4 linked regions of the Bombyx mori genome follow. The protein of the gene in region 4 purifies or fractionates together with the protein of the main gene of each other region. This does not show direct contact. Links are inferred from orthologs where the notes say so. Each region holds a gene or a part of one and is shown on either strand. Other genes may lie near its edges.

Region 1 (4,213 bases), on a different chromosome or scaffold from region 4:
CAGGTTTCTAGGGTTGTCTATGTAGTTATAACAATATTTTTTAAATTTGTTGGTAAAAATCTGGTTTATTCGTGATGTTTTTGTCTAGAACTTTTATTCAAAATTATCAATGTTTTATTTTATTGTTTGGTAAATATTTATATTATCAGTTACGTATTGTTTTCTGTTTTTAGATATGCCTCGCGTGTACGTATCAAAGAATGCAAAGCCTTATAAGAGATATTATCCCTTAATATTAAAAACAGCAATTAGGAAATTTTCTATTTGGGAATAAGTCTTTAGTTGAAATAGCTAAGCAATTTAATATAAGTAAGTCAATTTTGCACAGACATGTAATAAGAACAATGAAATCTCAAGGTGGACAAAAATGTCTAAGTAATACATAATAAAATATTTATTATTTGTTCAGAGTGTCCGTTTTTTAATGTTTTTTATTGATGATCACTTTGTTGGTGCAACTAAATAAATAAATTAAAACCAAGTAGTGCCCACCCTAGCAAATTTCTCATTTCGTCCCAATTAACCGCAATTTCCGGGTAAATAGGGATTACACCTATTTTTGCTTTTTTTGCTTAAACTGGAATGCTAGTTGCATAGTTTTAAATTGGACAACAAAGATGCTCCCAAGACTCAATCATTTTGATCCTGATATAGCATTATATACATCAACAACTACCTTAAAATTGGTCATAAAGATGGAATTTGTCCCTAATCGCCCCATTTTACCGGTACTTGCGTATTTCAAGTTGCTTCCGCTTGCAGTTCTTTCACTGAAGTTCCAGTACATGTGTAATTTCTATTTTTAGTATTGTTTAAAAGTGATTTATTAAAGACCTTGTTTAGTTTTTAGTTCTTTTTATTTCAAATGATTTTTAGTAGTTTAATTGAGTTTGGTAATTTTTTTTTATTTCACTTAACATCATTTCAAAATATGGTACTCGTTTATGACTTCGTTTCATGTATCGATCCCCGTGCCTATCAGATTTTGAAATAAAATAATAAAAATTACACTTTGAAAATTTTCGAATTAACATCTGACAATTTTTTTAGCGGGAACGCAAGGCGCTAAGTTCTGTTAATTTTGTTAAAGTAGTGCTCATGTTTAAACGTGTAATAACGGTGATTATTACACTATTATTATACTATATTACATTATTAACTGTTTAGTATCTCTGAAGGTGCACAAATGTGGGAAAATGAAACAAATTCGCTGGACGTAGCTTCTCAAAAGCTTCCAAAAAGTCTTGGTGCATAACCACCACTCCACTGAGACTATATTTCATCACATCTCATCTCATTTCATTAACATCCTAATTGATTTACTGTCTCAAATTAATAAACTTCATCTCATTTCGCTCTATGGTTTTTCAAAACACAGAATTCACAGAATACACAAAAAATACGCTGTATGGTGTGATACCTTCGTTTTTCCAGTTCAAAAAATAAAGTAGCCGATAAGACTGACATATGACTGACATTAAAAACAAATTTATTTGATCTTACTTGATTTTACTTCAGTGGTTAGATTAATAAAATAAACATTATATTTTTAAAATTAGCACATAAACTTAAAGGCAAATGATAAATACTGAAAAAAATTTGTTCAGTCAACATATTATATCATAAAAATCGTTAATTTAATTATGAAGGATCTTAAGGTTAAATAAATCTAAAACTTCTATTTTAGCCTCATGATCGCGCTATGAAAGTAACTGTAAAAAGTAAGCACAATCTCTTTTTTTCATAATGTTTATTTTCCCTGGTTAATTTACACTTTATTCTTTGCAACTTAAAACACACTGACATTAAAGTAAATTAAGTAGTAATTTTTGCTAAGTGCCTTATTGTCATAGAGCACAATTCTTAAAAATTCCTCATACAAGGAAGAACCGATTGAAATTGAAATATTCACAGTAACGAGATAATTCATTTTAGGTTGGACAGGGGTTGCAACTTGGAGGTGGGTAGCAAACGACGACAATTGTGGGATTTGTCGTATGCCATTTGATAGCTGCTGTCCAGACTGCAAACTACCTGGGGACGACTGCCCTCTAGTTTGGGGTGCTTGCTCTCACTGTTTCCACATTCACTGTATCGTAAAGTGGCTACACTCTCAGCCTCAACAGCAGTGTCCTATGTGCAGACAAGACTGGAAGTTCAATAACAAGTGAAATATTCGTAAGTACATACCATAAATTAAGAAAATATAGTTTAAATAATAAATAAATATAGGTTTTTATTCTCACACTTTATTGTGTCACTGCTGTCCCATTTTGTAACTATATTTTGTTTACCAACCTATAAGGCTAGAATAATTTGGAAAAATTTATTGTTTGGTGTTTTCAAACTCAATAAGTAGTTAAATGGTTCGATGATTATAGAGTCACAAATCCTTATTAGTCATTTTTAGTTTAGTGATAACAAGTTTAAATCTCACCTTAACTTATTAATCAGGTGGTATGTAGTATAGAATATAGGGATTGATCTGCACATAATAGCAACTTTTATTATTAATGTCAGAATAATGCAAATCTAACATAAATGAAGTTGACAATATCACAACATTTTTCTTTCTTTGAAGCTTTGATTACGGAGTTCTACAGTTTCCTTCCTTTCATAATTCAGCAGAGTACTAAGTTTTAAAGACAAAAGGTTGCTACTATGCTAGTACAGATTAAATATTATTAAAGTTTTCTGTGAATTGTTGTACAAGGGATTGTCAAAAATATCATAATAACGAGGGGTGAAAGGTTATTATTTGGTTTAAGAGATAATATTCGATATTTATCTTTGTAATTAAAGGTGCATTTTATTTGATGTCAGTATAATTTTTTAATTGAACTTTAATTAAGCTAAAGAAGTTTTTTTTTTATTATGTTTTTTTTTTCAAATTTTAAACTTTAAATGGCTCTGCTATAAAGCTGCAAAAATGTCGCTCAAATCAAATAGCCTTTCACCCCGATATGAACTACTGATAAATTTAGATGTGTTGGTGAAATTAGCCTACCTTATGTTCTTTTTTTTTTTATTGCCCCTGTGGGCATACGGCCCACCTGATGGTGAGTGGTTACCGTCGCCCATGGACCTCAGCAATGCTAGGGGCAGAGCCAAGCCGCTGCCTACTGCTAAAATTTTCACTGCTTTTCCATTATTTGTATTTGGGCAGGGATTAGATGCAGTGTAGTTCGACTCCCACAACCTGAATTTGTTCAAACCACTCTGAAATTATAAATATTAGGTAATGATTATTAACAAAACATCTGTAGTGATAGAAAACAATCTCTGGAAAAATATTCTATAAGGATTCTGGATGATTTGCCTTTGGCACCAAATAATTTGGTCAAAGGGCAAATTATCTCTCCCAAAAAAACCAAAATACTGGGATACTCTTAAAATATAATCTTTATATACAGTATTTATAATATACTTTTTTACTGGGCATCGTTTCTGCCTGCACTGATAGTGACCACCATCCTACATATTTTTGCTGTGAAGCAGTAAAATGTAAACATTTGATGTGTGGAGCAGCCGATGTACTGTAAAAACTGACTTAGAAGTCATGTCACAGAATGGGTTGTGACAACTCATTAATCTCTCAGCAAAAATTAACTGTGAACCTTGCTGTCTATTCTTCGAGTTGCCTTTCGCAAAACTCACGAGAAGAGAGTGGATGCCATTCTAGGCCCTCTGGAGCTTAGTGTGCTGCATGCCGACATCGGTGTGTTTATAAACCAAAAAGGTCCCACATATTGCTTAACAGCACTTCAAAGAAATGTGATCAAAGCTGAAGTCCTGACAGGATACGTTGATGGCAAGCAATTTTTTTTGCCCCGAAATCGTCCTTTTAATTTTTTTAATTTTTCTTGTTGCTTCGATGGGTGGACGAGCTCACAGCCCACCTGATGTTAAGTGGTTATTGGAGCCCATAGACATCTACAAACTAAATACGCCACCCACGTTGAGATATAAGTTCTAAGGTCTCAGTATAGTTACAACGGCTGCCCCACCCTTCAAGCCGAAACGCATTACTGTTTCATGGCAGAAATAGGCGAAGTAGTGGTACCTACCCGCGCGGACTCACAAGAGGTCCTACCACCTACTTAATCAAATATCATTTAGTTTCAAACGCGTAATTTTTGTTTGGCAATGACGCGTAAATAATACACGCGGGGGTAGACATCTACCAGCTGCTTCGCGCATGGCCAATAGTAAG
Region 2 (4,129 bases), on a different chromosome or scaffold from region 4:
TTTTAATTTTCCCACATTTGTGCACTTTCACAGATATTAAACAGTTAATAAACCACCGTTATTACCAGTGGTCGGAGTAGGTAGATTGATTTCATATACTTGGATCAAGATATTTTAATATGGACATGCCATTTTATCCATAATGATTATTTTTTTAAAATGAAAAAAATTATTTTTAATCCTCATCGGATACAATTTCTATACTTATAAAGTAACAAAAAAGCACTGTCTAAGTTTTGTCTCATACTGACAAGCGTCATTTACAATTTAACAGAAAGGGACAAAATAACTATAACTATAACTATACACATATATATAATATATAACTGTAACTATTCCAAGGCGTTTTTGTATAAAACAAAATACTGATTTCTTTTACCATTAGCTAGCACTGATAGCGTAGATTACAGGTGGCTGTGAACTCGTCTACCCATCTAAGCAATAAAGAAAAAAAAAATTATTATTACGTTTTTCACTTTAAACACAAATTCATGCTAATTTCAAAATTCCGGAACAAATATCACAATAAATATGAAGTTCCAGTATTTTGGAGGCATATATATATATATATATATCCATATTATCCTCTACGTTTGACGTCAACGACCTTAACTCAATCTACTTACCCACTCTGACCTCTAGTTATTACACATTTAAACCTGAAGAAACACTAATTAAACAAAATAAAACAAATCACACAACTTCACTCCTCGAGTTCCCGCCAAAAAGTTCTTAATAGGTACCTACATATTGTTTTTGTTTCATAATAGCATCATACATGGTGGTAAGGCCTCTTGTGAGTCCGCGAGGATAGGTATCACCACCCTGTCTATTTCTGCCGTGAAGCAGTAATATGTTTCGGTTTAAAGGGTGGGGCAGCCGTTGTAACTAAACTTGAGACCTTAGAACTCATATCTCAAGGTGGGTGGCGCATTTACGTTGTAGATATCTATGGGCTCCAGTAACCACTTAACACCAGGTGGGCTGTGAGCTTGTCCACCCATCTAAGCAATAAAAAAAAATCAAATGATTCAGGTTGCCGAAGTTAAGATTTTACCCTTTTAGTTTGGAGGATAGAGATTAGGAGCACATCATCATCTTTGTGTGTTGATGTAGCTGTATGTAGAGAGAGCTTATTTCTATTTGATCTCATGTATTTAAGTTTATTACCACTTTACTTAAAAATTAATTTATTTTCCTCAGTTCCATTTCACTTTGCGTAGTATATCAGACGGAGTTTTGTATTTTTAATATGTAAGCAAAGGGTATATGGAGGCGTTTGAGCATTGACACTTGATTTAAAGGAATTTTTGACATTGAAGTTTGAATGAAATGTTTTGAATTATTTGAAAATAACAATTATCAACGGACGCGCTGAATTCACCCAGTACCTACATAACGGCTCGTTTGTATCAAATCGTCCCTACATACTCAAGTGTGTATATAAATTCATTGATTTTGATTATTGATAGAACGATTACAGCAATATAATCGACAAACAGCTGACAACTATGTCACTACAACAAACAAAAAATTGTATTACTTTGCGCGGCTCCGCTCAAATTATATGCGAATATTTGAGTAAGTAACATTGTTTCTCTGTTGTTCTGGTATCAAAAGCTTGTTTTCCCATTTTTACCACACAGCCGTATAAGCATATATGCGCTGAAAGCTCTGATACTAATAATAACCTGAGGTTGTAACCAGTATGTTGAAGTGGCCATGATGGACATGCTTATTTATTTTTATTTATTGAATTAATATATTTTGTACACACAGCTGTTAGAAGAAACACGACCATAAAGATACAGAGTACAAGGGCTTACTAATGTGGACTACAAAACCATTATAAATTTATATGACTAAAGTCCACATTTGTTTAATCCCTGTGAGTAGTATAAACTGATTTATTTACTCATGTTTTCAGAATTTTCAATAAATTCAGTACTGTTTCAACGAGGCTTATATCCACCTGAAACCTTTAAGGCAGAAAACCAGTATGGCATCACACTGCTACTCTCAGAGGATCCTCAGATCAAGAGCTTCTTAACAAATCTTCTTACACAGAGTGAAGGTATCAGTTAGTCTACATCCAAATCTAATATGATTAATAGCAGTTCTTAGTAATAATTAGTAACTTTTTTGATGGACTTAAAATAAAGATCAACAATTTGGGGAGTTCTTTTATCATTCATTGTTTTTAGTGGCATTGTATTTATGCACGAATGAGATGAATCAACTGCTCATGTGCTGTGTTTTGAGGGCCACTACTGCTACCTACTTAGCTCCACACCTTAGTCTGGAGTTTTAGGAGTTTTGACATCCTTTAAATAAAGTTTTACCACAGCAATTTCTTTAGTTTTCACAAGTCATAGAGATAACTGAAACTAGTACAAAATTTAATGTACATCAATAACCTTAATTGTCAGTACTCACAATATCACAAAACAAAAATAATATATGTGTGATATAATCCATTAAAGTAGTTTTAATGATGTTATTTTGATGATATTACAGAATGGATTCTTGACAAGAAAGTGAAAAAACTATCTCTGATCATACTAAATGTGGCTAACAAAGAAGTTCTGGAATGTTGGGACTTTAACATTCAATACGAAGATGGAGATACTGCTTTATCTAAGGAGAAAAATGAAATGGTCGGGAGCAAAGATTTGAAGAAGATACAACAGGAAATCAGAGATGTTATGTTACAAGTAGCAGCAACAATATCGTACTTACCGCTATTAGATTGTAGATGTTCATTTGATGTTTTGGTTCATGCTAAAACAGACTGCGATATTCCAGAAAAATGGGCTGAGGCACAACCAGTAGCTATAGCCAATGCTCAGAATGTACAGCTAAAGTCATTCTCGACTAGTTTACACAAAATGGAAACAGTAGTCAGTTACAAACTCGCAGATTGATTGCAGCTTTACTTTATAAGTTTTCTATTCTTTTTAAGTATCTCAAGTAATGTAGTTTGTAATTATCTAAGGTAAGGTAACATATTGTTGAAGAGAGCATGCATCAATTGCGTGATGACCATCAGGTGACCATAAGGTGGACTATGACCGTCTACCCATTTTAAATAATAAATAACCTTTACTGCTTTCTCCCCTCTCTGCAATAATGTACTAGTGAATCTTTAATGACTCATAATTATAGTAATGGTGAATTTTAAAATGAAATTATGCCATAACAATTACTACAGTTGTCGTGATGTGTTAAGTTTTAGTTTTTTTTCTCAAATAAGAAGGAAATCGTCAATCAAATTGTTAGGCCATTATTGGTTGTAGACTGTTCTCGATCTAAATACGTATAATTTTATTTAGTGACTAAGTTACAGTAGGTATTGATTATGCTTTAAACAGTCTAAAGTTTGTTTTAATCTCACAGCTAAGTTTTGAGTGCTTGGTTTTACAAACAATGTTATCTGACTCCCATACAGGCCAATAAAGATTATTGTTAGATACTTGAGAAAAACAGTGATGTTCTCACACGAGGCTGGCATTCGCACATATTCTATGCGTTAAGACCTGAATATGGAGTTGATTTTCTAACAAACGGTTATCAATATCTTAGCCCCACAAGTAATTTTGTTGGTATCTACAAATGGAAATCATTTAGTATTTAAATGGTAATGACTACATCTCTAGTTCGCTTGTTCATGTATCTACTATAATACTGTATACTTGGGCACTTAATGGGCACCTAAAATTGAAAATAATTTTATATTATGTGTTTTTAACTAATAGCAATCAACCGAAATCTATATTGTGTTCAGTATTGTAAATATAAAATGTAAGTTTTAACTGTGAATGTAGCACCTTCGTTTCAATGTTTGGTATCATTTTGGCATGTATAAATGAATTTAAAAGTGTTTGGTTTTTGTCTTGTTTAAATGAGCGATGATACAAGGGTGATATAAATTTTCTACTATGACTACAGCATAATTTATTCTACTTTCGTTACGTTTCTGGATCGATTCGAGGCCAAGGTCGTCGTGTATGTCAACGTTCCTCACGAACCACAGCTCCGACGGCCAGCCTGCAAAAGCTGGATTGTAGGGATTGGAGGGTGTCCAAGTGTGTGCGGGCCGCGTGAGCAAACACCACACGCGTAGGTCATG
Region 3 (4,083 bases), on a different chromosome or scaffold from region 4:
ATGAATATTTACGAGTAATTAAGGACGAAAAAATTTTAAAAATTGCAATCGAGGGGCTAACTTTTAGATATATTTTTAATATTTTTTTTAAAATAAATAAATGGGGAACAAACAATTATTAACAATGAACAATCAAGAACAAATGATGAACAAACGAATTAATAGAAAATAAGTAGAAAACAGGAAAAAAAAATTTTTTTGAGGGGCTAACTTCATTCACCTATAAAATCACACCATTTAATTTATAACAAAGGCCAAAACCATATATTTTGTTGTGAGAAAAGTGAAATAGGAATTTTGCACAAAAAAAATCCGGCGAGTTATTTAGCCGCGTGGAACTAAATTAAATGTCAGAAATATTGGAGCTCAATGAATTTGGCCCCCCCCCCTTTGTAATTATTGGATTTTTTATTTTTAATTGTTATTTCGTCTTTTATTTATTTATAATTAATTAAACAAATGATCACCCTTAAGTCGGCCCCTCTTACTAGATGTCTTTATTTCTATCACTCAGACTAATTAATTTTGATCAATTATCGTTTGTTCGGCGACTATTGGTGATTGTTGCATCATAAAAACAAATAAATTCCCAATTATTAATTATTTTATATCTATTAAGCAATCAGGCCTATATTGTGCATGCGCCGGTTTTGTCAGTCACCTATCAATGGCCGTATTTACTAGCGTTTTGTTAACAAGTGCGCTTAAACTGTCTAATTATTTCCTAGGTAGATCAAAAAAATATTGAAAACTTCAACAATACTTCAACAAAAAAATGTCAGTGAAGACGACCAATTAGTCGTTAAAGTACGATTCGCCCGGTTTTAATAAATTCAGTTATTTTTAATTATATTGAATATTAACAACCATATAGAAATTTCAGTGATTTCTAATTATTCTAAGAATATTAAATTAATAATTGGGAATTTAATTGTTTTTATGATCGAGCAATCACCAGTAGTTGTCGAACAAACGATAATTGATCACAATTAATTAATCTGATCGATAAAAATAAAGATATTTTGTAAGAGGGGCTAACTTAAGAGTGATCATTTGTTTAATTATAAATAAATAATGGACGAACAAACAATTTTTACATTCGAACATTAACGAACAAACGACGAATAAATAATTAAAATTAAAAAAATATATTTGAAAATTAAAAAAAGGAGGCCAAATTCAGCTAAAATACTAACTCTATGGCACAGGACCACAGATCATAGATTAGACACTTAATATCCACAGATTAATATATTAGGATTGAACGCAAAGAGTAAAGTGTAAACATTAATTAATTTATTTATGAGGATATCGTTCTTAGATCTTAGATCTTATGTATAAGATAACTGACCTGCAATAATGATGAATATAAATCATAAAAAGGAAGATTTGAAACTGTACTGGAATAAAATAAACTATGCCTATCCAATTCTCGATGATAAAATTTTCAGCGACTGTACTGAGGCTGAATACGATGAAGTGCAAGTGTTAATAGTTAATTTGGGTGTCCAAATAAAGATACGTGATCTTGTATTTGTTCATATTGAGAAATATCTACGACAACATGTCGCATCTAGTTTTTGGTCAAAATATATTAAGACCGCGGAAGAAGTTAAAGGATTTCAACTATTTAAATCTTCAGTGAATGATCTCTATGAAGCAGTTTCTAGTTTCTCACCCATGTTACAAAGATTGACTAAATTGAACAGTAGTTGTAATGATAATAAGTTAATTTATGGCGAGAAAAATCTTGTATTAGGTTTTAAGCAGCTCGTCCGAGCTACTCTTCTGTCTCAGTTACCCATCGACTTTCAGTGTATTATAAACCAATTCTACAAAATATCTTTTAATGTTTTCGATAATGAATATGAAAACTCCGACATGGGCGAGGACATAATGTGTTCTGGTTGTGGAAACGAGTATTCCGATTGTAACTGTGCATACATTGTGAAAGTATTTCATGAAACAAATAGGAAGTTGGTGGAGTTACAATTGTTAGAAAGACTCACAGGTCAAGTTCTAACTAATTTCATCCAGTTGAGAATTCAGTCTCATATACAGAAAGTATGTACTGGCACTTTTGATGTGTCCCACATTGAAGCATTAGAAAGTTGGCTTAATACGACAGTAATGTCTTGGTTGATCAGAATTTATTGTGCTGGCTCCTCCAAACCTCCACCTGATGATAAAAATATACAAAATGCAATCTCAAGATTCAAACAGAAACTCACTTACTATCTCTATCATAGCTACACAAAAACAAGAATTGATCAGCTCTTCAACATCATTATAGAATATCCTGATTCCCAGCCTGCTGTTGATGACATCAAAATTTGTTTAGCAAAAACAGATTTGAGACCAACTCTATGTAAAAAGTTACAGAATGCATTAGAAACAAGGCTTCTTCACCCAGGCGTGAACACTCCTGACATACTCACTGCTTACATATCTACTATTAGAGCTTTGAGACACCTAGATCCTTCTGGTGTTATACTGGAAACAGTGACAAAACCTGTTCGTAATTATTTAAGAAGTAGAGAAGATACAGTGAGGAGTGTTGTGAGCAGTTTGACAGAAGAAGGTGCTGGTAGTGAGTTAGCTGAAGAGCTAGCTAAATTTGCAGCAGAAGGAGATGGCGATGCCGATAAAGATGAGGCTTGGGATGAATGGAATCCTGATCCAGTTGATGCTGATCCCAAAGTTGATTCAAATGACAGAAGAACTAATGATATTATATCTATGCTTGTTAATGTTTATGGTAGCAAGGAATTGTTTGTTAATGAATATAGAACTTTACTAGCTGATAGATTACTGGCTCAAAGTGTTATCAATACAGAAAAAGAAATTAGGTACCTGGAGCTATTAAAAATAAGATTTGGTGAATCACAATTACACTTCTGTGAAGTCATGCTTAAAGATATATCAGATTCAAAGAGAATTAATTCCTTAATACATCAGGACAAAACCATTGAGGAGCTGAATAAGAAATTTACTTCTAATGCAATGATTTTATCTGCACAGTTTTGGCCACCATTTAAAGATGAAAGTCTGGAATTACCAGAAGAAATCAAGGAACATTTTGAAGCATACACTAAATCTTATGAAGCTTTAAAAGGTAATCGAACATTAAGCTGGAAACCACACCTTGGAAATGTAAACTTAGAGATAGAAATAGGCGAAAAGAAGTTAGATCTGACAGTTTCACCTTTTAATGCGACATTGATAATGCATTTCCAAAATAAATCTGAATGGACGTTAGATGAACTCCATCAGGTGATGAAAGTTCCTATTACTATTCTGAGAAGGAAAATAACATACTGGCAATCGATGGGTTTAATAGCAGAAAAAAGTACAGATCACTTTGTTTTAGTTGAAGCTGATAATAAAGCCAGTGTACCTTCACATCAAGTACAGGAAATGATTTGTGAAGATGAAGAAACGGAGAGTGCCATGGCATCAGCACATGATCAGCGGGAAGGTGAACTGCAAGTTTTTTGGTCTTATATTGTAGGCATGTTAACAAACTTGGACTGTTTGCCTTTGGACAGAATACATCAAATGTTGAAGATGTTTGCTTCCCAAGCTCCAGGCACTGAATGCAGTCTTATGGAGCTGAGACAATTTTTAGACACAAAAGTAAGAACACATCAACTGGTACTTCAAGGAGGCATGTACAAATTGCCTAAGACATAGATGTTAATATTTATCAGAAATAAAAAAGAACTTGAAAGTTAACAAAACTTTATTTTCACCTTTTATATATTAATTTGGTTACATTACATGTCTATTTAAGTTAAAAGTTCAGATGCTTAAAACAATTTCTTTAAGCTGTTCCATCAACAAAATACATTATAAATTAAAATAAGTAATACCACCACTTGACTATAAAATAATACGAATAACATTTAAATACTTAGTGAATTTAATACATTATCATGTGTCAGTCTTAATATCTATTAAAATACTGTTTAAATTAAGAAGTAAGAATAAATAAATAAAACTAATTTGACAAGAAAAACATACTGGAGATAATACAGATTCATTATAAATATGCAGGGTGGAATGCATTTGGTCTAAAAAAAA
Region 4 (2,745 bases):
AATCATTAAAAAAAAAATTAAAACCAAATGATATTCTGTAAATAAATTGCTACTTATTGGTAATAAAAAAATAGACTTGGACTTCTTTACTCAATATGGGTCGCAGCGTCCACATTGGCATCTATGGCAGTAATCGATAAATACTAGGTAAGGTATCTAACCCATTTGAAATACTATATTCAATCCAAGATTTAGTATAAATACAACAACAATACTATCGCATATGTACTACACACCTGTACAGAATTCTTAGGGGTTTGATTCTTTTTTGAGTCACGAAGAAACCGCTAGACTTCCGCTTAAAATTAGAGGCCCGTGGCAGAATTAAACCGTCTAATAGCGCTCGTTGGTTGAGACACAATGGAAATATATGGAACGCTTAGGGTGCTAAAATTCGGACTTCCTTCCTATTCGAGTACCCCTGCTGGCTGAACGATGACGATTTGGTCCGCTAGCACTCATGGCGCGCTGCTTGCTTCTGTCAACACATTCGGCAATTCGGCAAAGAAGAGGACGGCTTTTTTTGTGTGGGTCATTGCGCGAATGTGTGAGTGACCTCATAGACACAGCCCACTGAGTTTCTCGCCAGATTTTCTCAGTGAGTCGCATTTCCGATCAGGTTGTTGATTCTGCGAAGCACTGCTCTTTGCTAGGGCCAGTGTTAGCATCAGTCCCGATTTGAGCCCCGTGAGCTCACCTACATGTCAAGCTGAAATAGCCTCTCAAGGCTTTCAGCATAGGTAGGAGTAAAAAAGTGAGTGTATGAAGCCGCAGTGATGGCAGTCCACCGTGGACTTAGCCACAACCCGGTGTTATTTCTGAAGCAATGACAAAGCAGGGCGCTGGTTCTAACACTTATCCGCTTTATCTATTGAATATCATATCACATTGTATAATATAATCACGATAGATTAGATGCAAATATTTTAAAATAATATAAACCATTTTGCAGATTCTAGGTTTAGAAGAAAGCAGTGTTACAGAAGCGATAAAAGCATGTTGTGCATTTTTAAACAAATGTCTGGAATTACAACAGGTTATTGATGTATCGATGCGGAACTATAAAGCTTTCTTCAGGTGGCTTTTTGTAGTAATCGTTAGACAACTGGATGAACAAACACCAAGTGAAATTGTGAAAATAAATCAACAGGAATTGAGCCACATAGCGGAGTTTCTCTACAATTTTGACAATGTAAAAGTAGACAGTTCAGACAAACCACCTGATAAATTGATCAAATTTAATTTAGAAAGATTAGGGCAATATTTGCAAAATCAAGAACTGACAATTTTGCCAGAAGATGAAGACAACACATGGCATAAATTTCTTCAAGACAATGCTTGCTTCCTTAAAGACAATGATACATTTTTCTCCATGAAAGACTTCAAAAAATATTCATTAGTTCAACAGCAAGCACATCTTATAGAGACAGTCACTAAAGTTTTTGATGTCGTTCATAAAGATACAGGAAAATATTTTTCTGTATTATGTAATATTAGATGCCACGAAGATCAACTGAATAAAAACCTGCACAATAGTTTGAGAGTTTCACAAGTCTTTGATGACACAAATAAACGATTGATGTCGGCCTTTTTGGATATATCAAATGGAAAAGAAGGAATTTATTTTTTGGCTGTCAATATAAAGGAGAGATCTTGTAATATTGCAGTTATGAAATGCTACTTTTCTTCTTATTTAGTTCAAAATGGCACTGATGATCAACAAAACGAACCTACAAATTTATTAGATTTACAATTCTATTCCCCAGAATATTTGTCAGTTATTACAACACATCCTGAAAATGAGGAAAATACAATATTTATTCAGGTACCAGTAAAACATCTCCTAGAAAATTCTACTGAACTCAATATTAACACAAAATCTTGTATTTTTACTGACAGAAGTGTAAAGAAGGATATTGCGCCTTTATTAGAACAGAATGTTTATAAAGTGCTTGAGAAAATGGACGGTTCAAGATTAGCAGTTTCTGGAGGTCGTAAAGTTGCTGTTATCCTTTCAAAAAGTTCTCGAAAAGTTAGAGTATTTGAAATGGAAGTTGATGGTGATGATGATGAAGACGATACTCTCGATACAACACCACAATCTATTGGAAAATTTCAAAACACACCTGATAAAAGTAATACTACCAATGAAGACAATATTTTTTAATATTTATTTAAGAAATTAAATATTCTACTCATCCTTATTATCTAGTATCATTTCTTTATCTACACTAGTACTTATTGAAAATTAATAATATGTAATTGGCAATAGATTATACACATTTGTTTAAAAGCATATTATTTTGGAACTATGTATTTGGAAAAATAAATTATTACAGTATTAAAATCTAAGTCTATGACACATCTTGACTTATGTACTGTTTTTAACTAAATCAAACTACGATGTGGTGATTTAATTTGAATATTTTCAAATACTGAATTGAAATCTGTATCTAATCCTTGGTTATCTATTCCATAGAGAAGTTCAGATGATTGATTTCTGCTTGGTCCCGCAACAGGTTCATGGATGCTAGTGGTAGTTTGATTATATATTTCATCACCATCTATTTCCTCATCTGGTTCATCAACTACAAACAAAATTTAAATCCATAATTTGGTCAGTCATCATACTTATGTGGTAAAATATAAAAAATGATAAGGGCTTTCCAAGTTAGTATAGTAACATTAAAAATACAGTAAAACCTCATAAAGGGAAATACAATTTTTTGCTACACTTTACATTAA

What was found.
Region 1: the proteins of anaphase-promoting complex subunit 4 (region 4) and anaphase promoting complex subunit 11 purify together in Homo sapiens (affinity purification with mass spectrometry; 8 studies listed by BioGRID and IntAct, with this or other methods). This does not show direct contact. The link is inferred for Bombyx mori from reciprocal best matches to the Homo sapiens genes ANAPC4 and ANAPC11.
Region 2: the proteins of anaphase-promoting complex subunit 4 (region 4) and mitotic spindle assembly checkpoint protein MAD2A purify together in Homo sapiens (affinity purification with western blotting; 14 studies listed by BioGRID and IntAct, with this or other methods). This does not show direct contact. The link is inferred for Bombyx mori from reciprocal best matches to the Homo sapiens genes ANAPC4 and MAD2L1.
Region 3: the proteins of anaphase-promoting complex subunit 4 (region 4) and anaphase-promoting complex subunit 2 purify together in Homo sapiens (affinity purification with western blotting; 12 studies listed by BioGRID and IntAct, with this or other methods). This does not show direct contact. The link is inferred for Bombyx mori from reciprocal best matches to the Homo sapiens genes ANAPC4 and ANAPC2.

The regions. Positions count from the first base shown.
Region 1 is NC_085118.1:13,747,121-13,751,333, forward strand, and holds the start of anaphase promoting complex subunit 11, read left to right. Parts: upstream 1-1,520; 5' UTR 1,521-1,702; coding exon 1,703-1,721; intron 1,722-1,731; exon of another isoform or gene 1,732-1,935; coding exon 1,936-2,171; 3' UTR 2,172-2,178; exon of another isoform or gene 2,179-3,219; intron 3,220-4,213. UniProt on the Homo sapiens protein: Together with the cullin protein ANAPC2, constitutes the catalytic component of the anaphase promoting complex/cyclosome (APC/C), a cell cycle-regulated E3 ubiquitin ligase that controls progression through mitosis and the G1 phase of the cell cycle.
Region 2 is NC_085128.1:1,144,864-1,148,992, forward strand, and holds mitotic spindle assembly checkpoint protein MAD2A, read left to right. Parts: upstream 1-1,329; 5' UTR 1,330-1,511; coding exon 1,512-1,581; intron 1,582-1,927; coding exon 1,928-2,074; intron 2,075-2,517; coding exon 2,518-2,924; 3' UTR 2,925-3,880; downstream 3,881-4,129. UniProt on the Homo sapiens protein: Component of the spindle-assembly checkpoint that prevents the onset of anaphase until all chromosomes are properly aligned at the metaphase plate.
Region 3 is NC_085131.1:8,614,767-8,618,849, reverse strand, and holds anaphase-promoting complex subunit 2, read left to right. Parts: upstream 1-1,228; 5' UTR 1,229-1,359; coding exon 1,360-3,693; 3' UTR 3,694-3,740; downstream 3,741-4,083. UniProt on the Homo sapiens protein: Together with the RING-H2 protein ANAPC11, constitutes the catalytic component of the anaphase promoting complex/cyclosome (APC/C), a cell cycle-regulated E3 ubiquitin ligase that controls progression through mitosis and the G1 phase of the cell cycle.
Region 4 is NC_085119.1:8,385,340-8,388,084, reverse strand, and holds the end of anaphase-promoting complex subunit 4, read left to right. Parts: intron 1-952; coding exon 953-2,167; 3' UTR 2,168-2,204; downstream 2,205-2,745. Other genes in the region: uncharacterized protein LOC101742302, read right to left, coding at 2,389-2,588. UniProt on the Homo sapiens protein: Component of the anaphase promoting complex/cyclosome (APC/C), a cell cycle-regulated E3 ubiquitin ligase that controls progression through mitosis and the G1 phase of the cell cycle.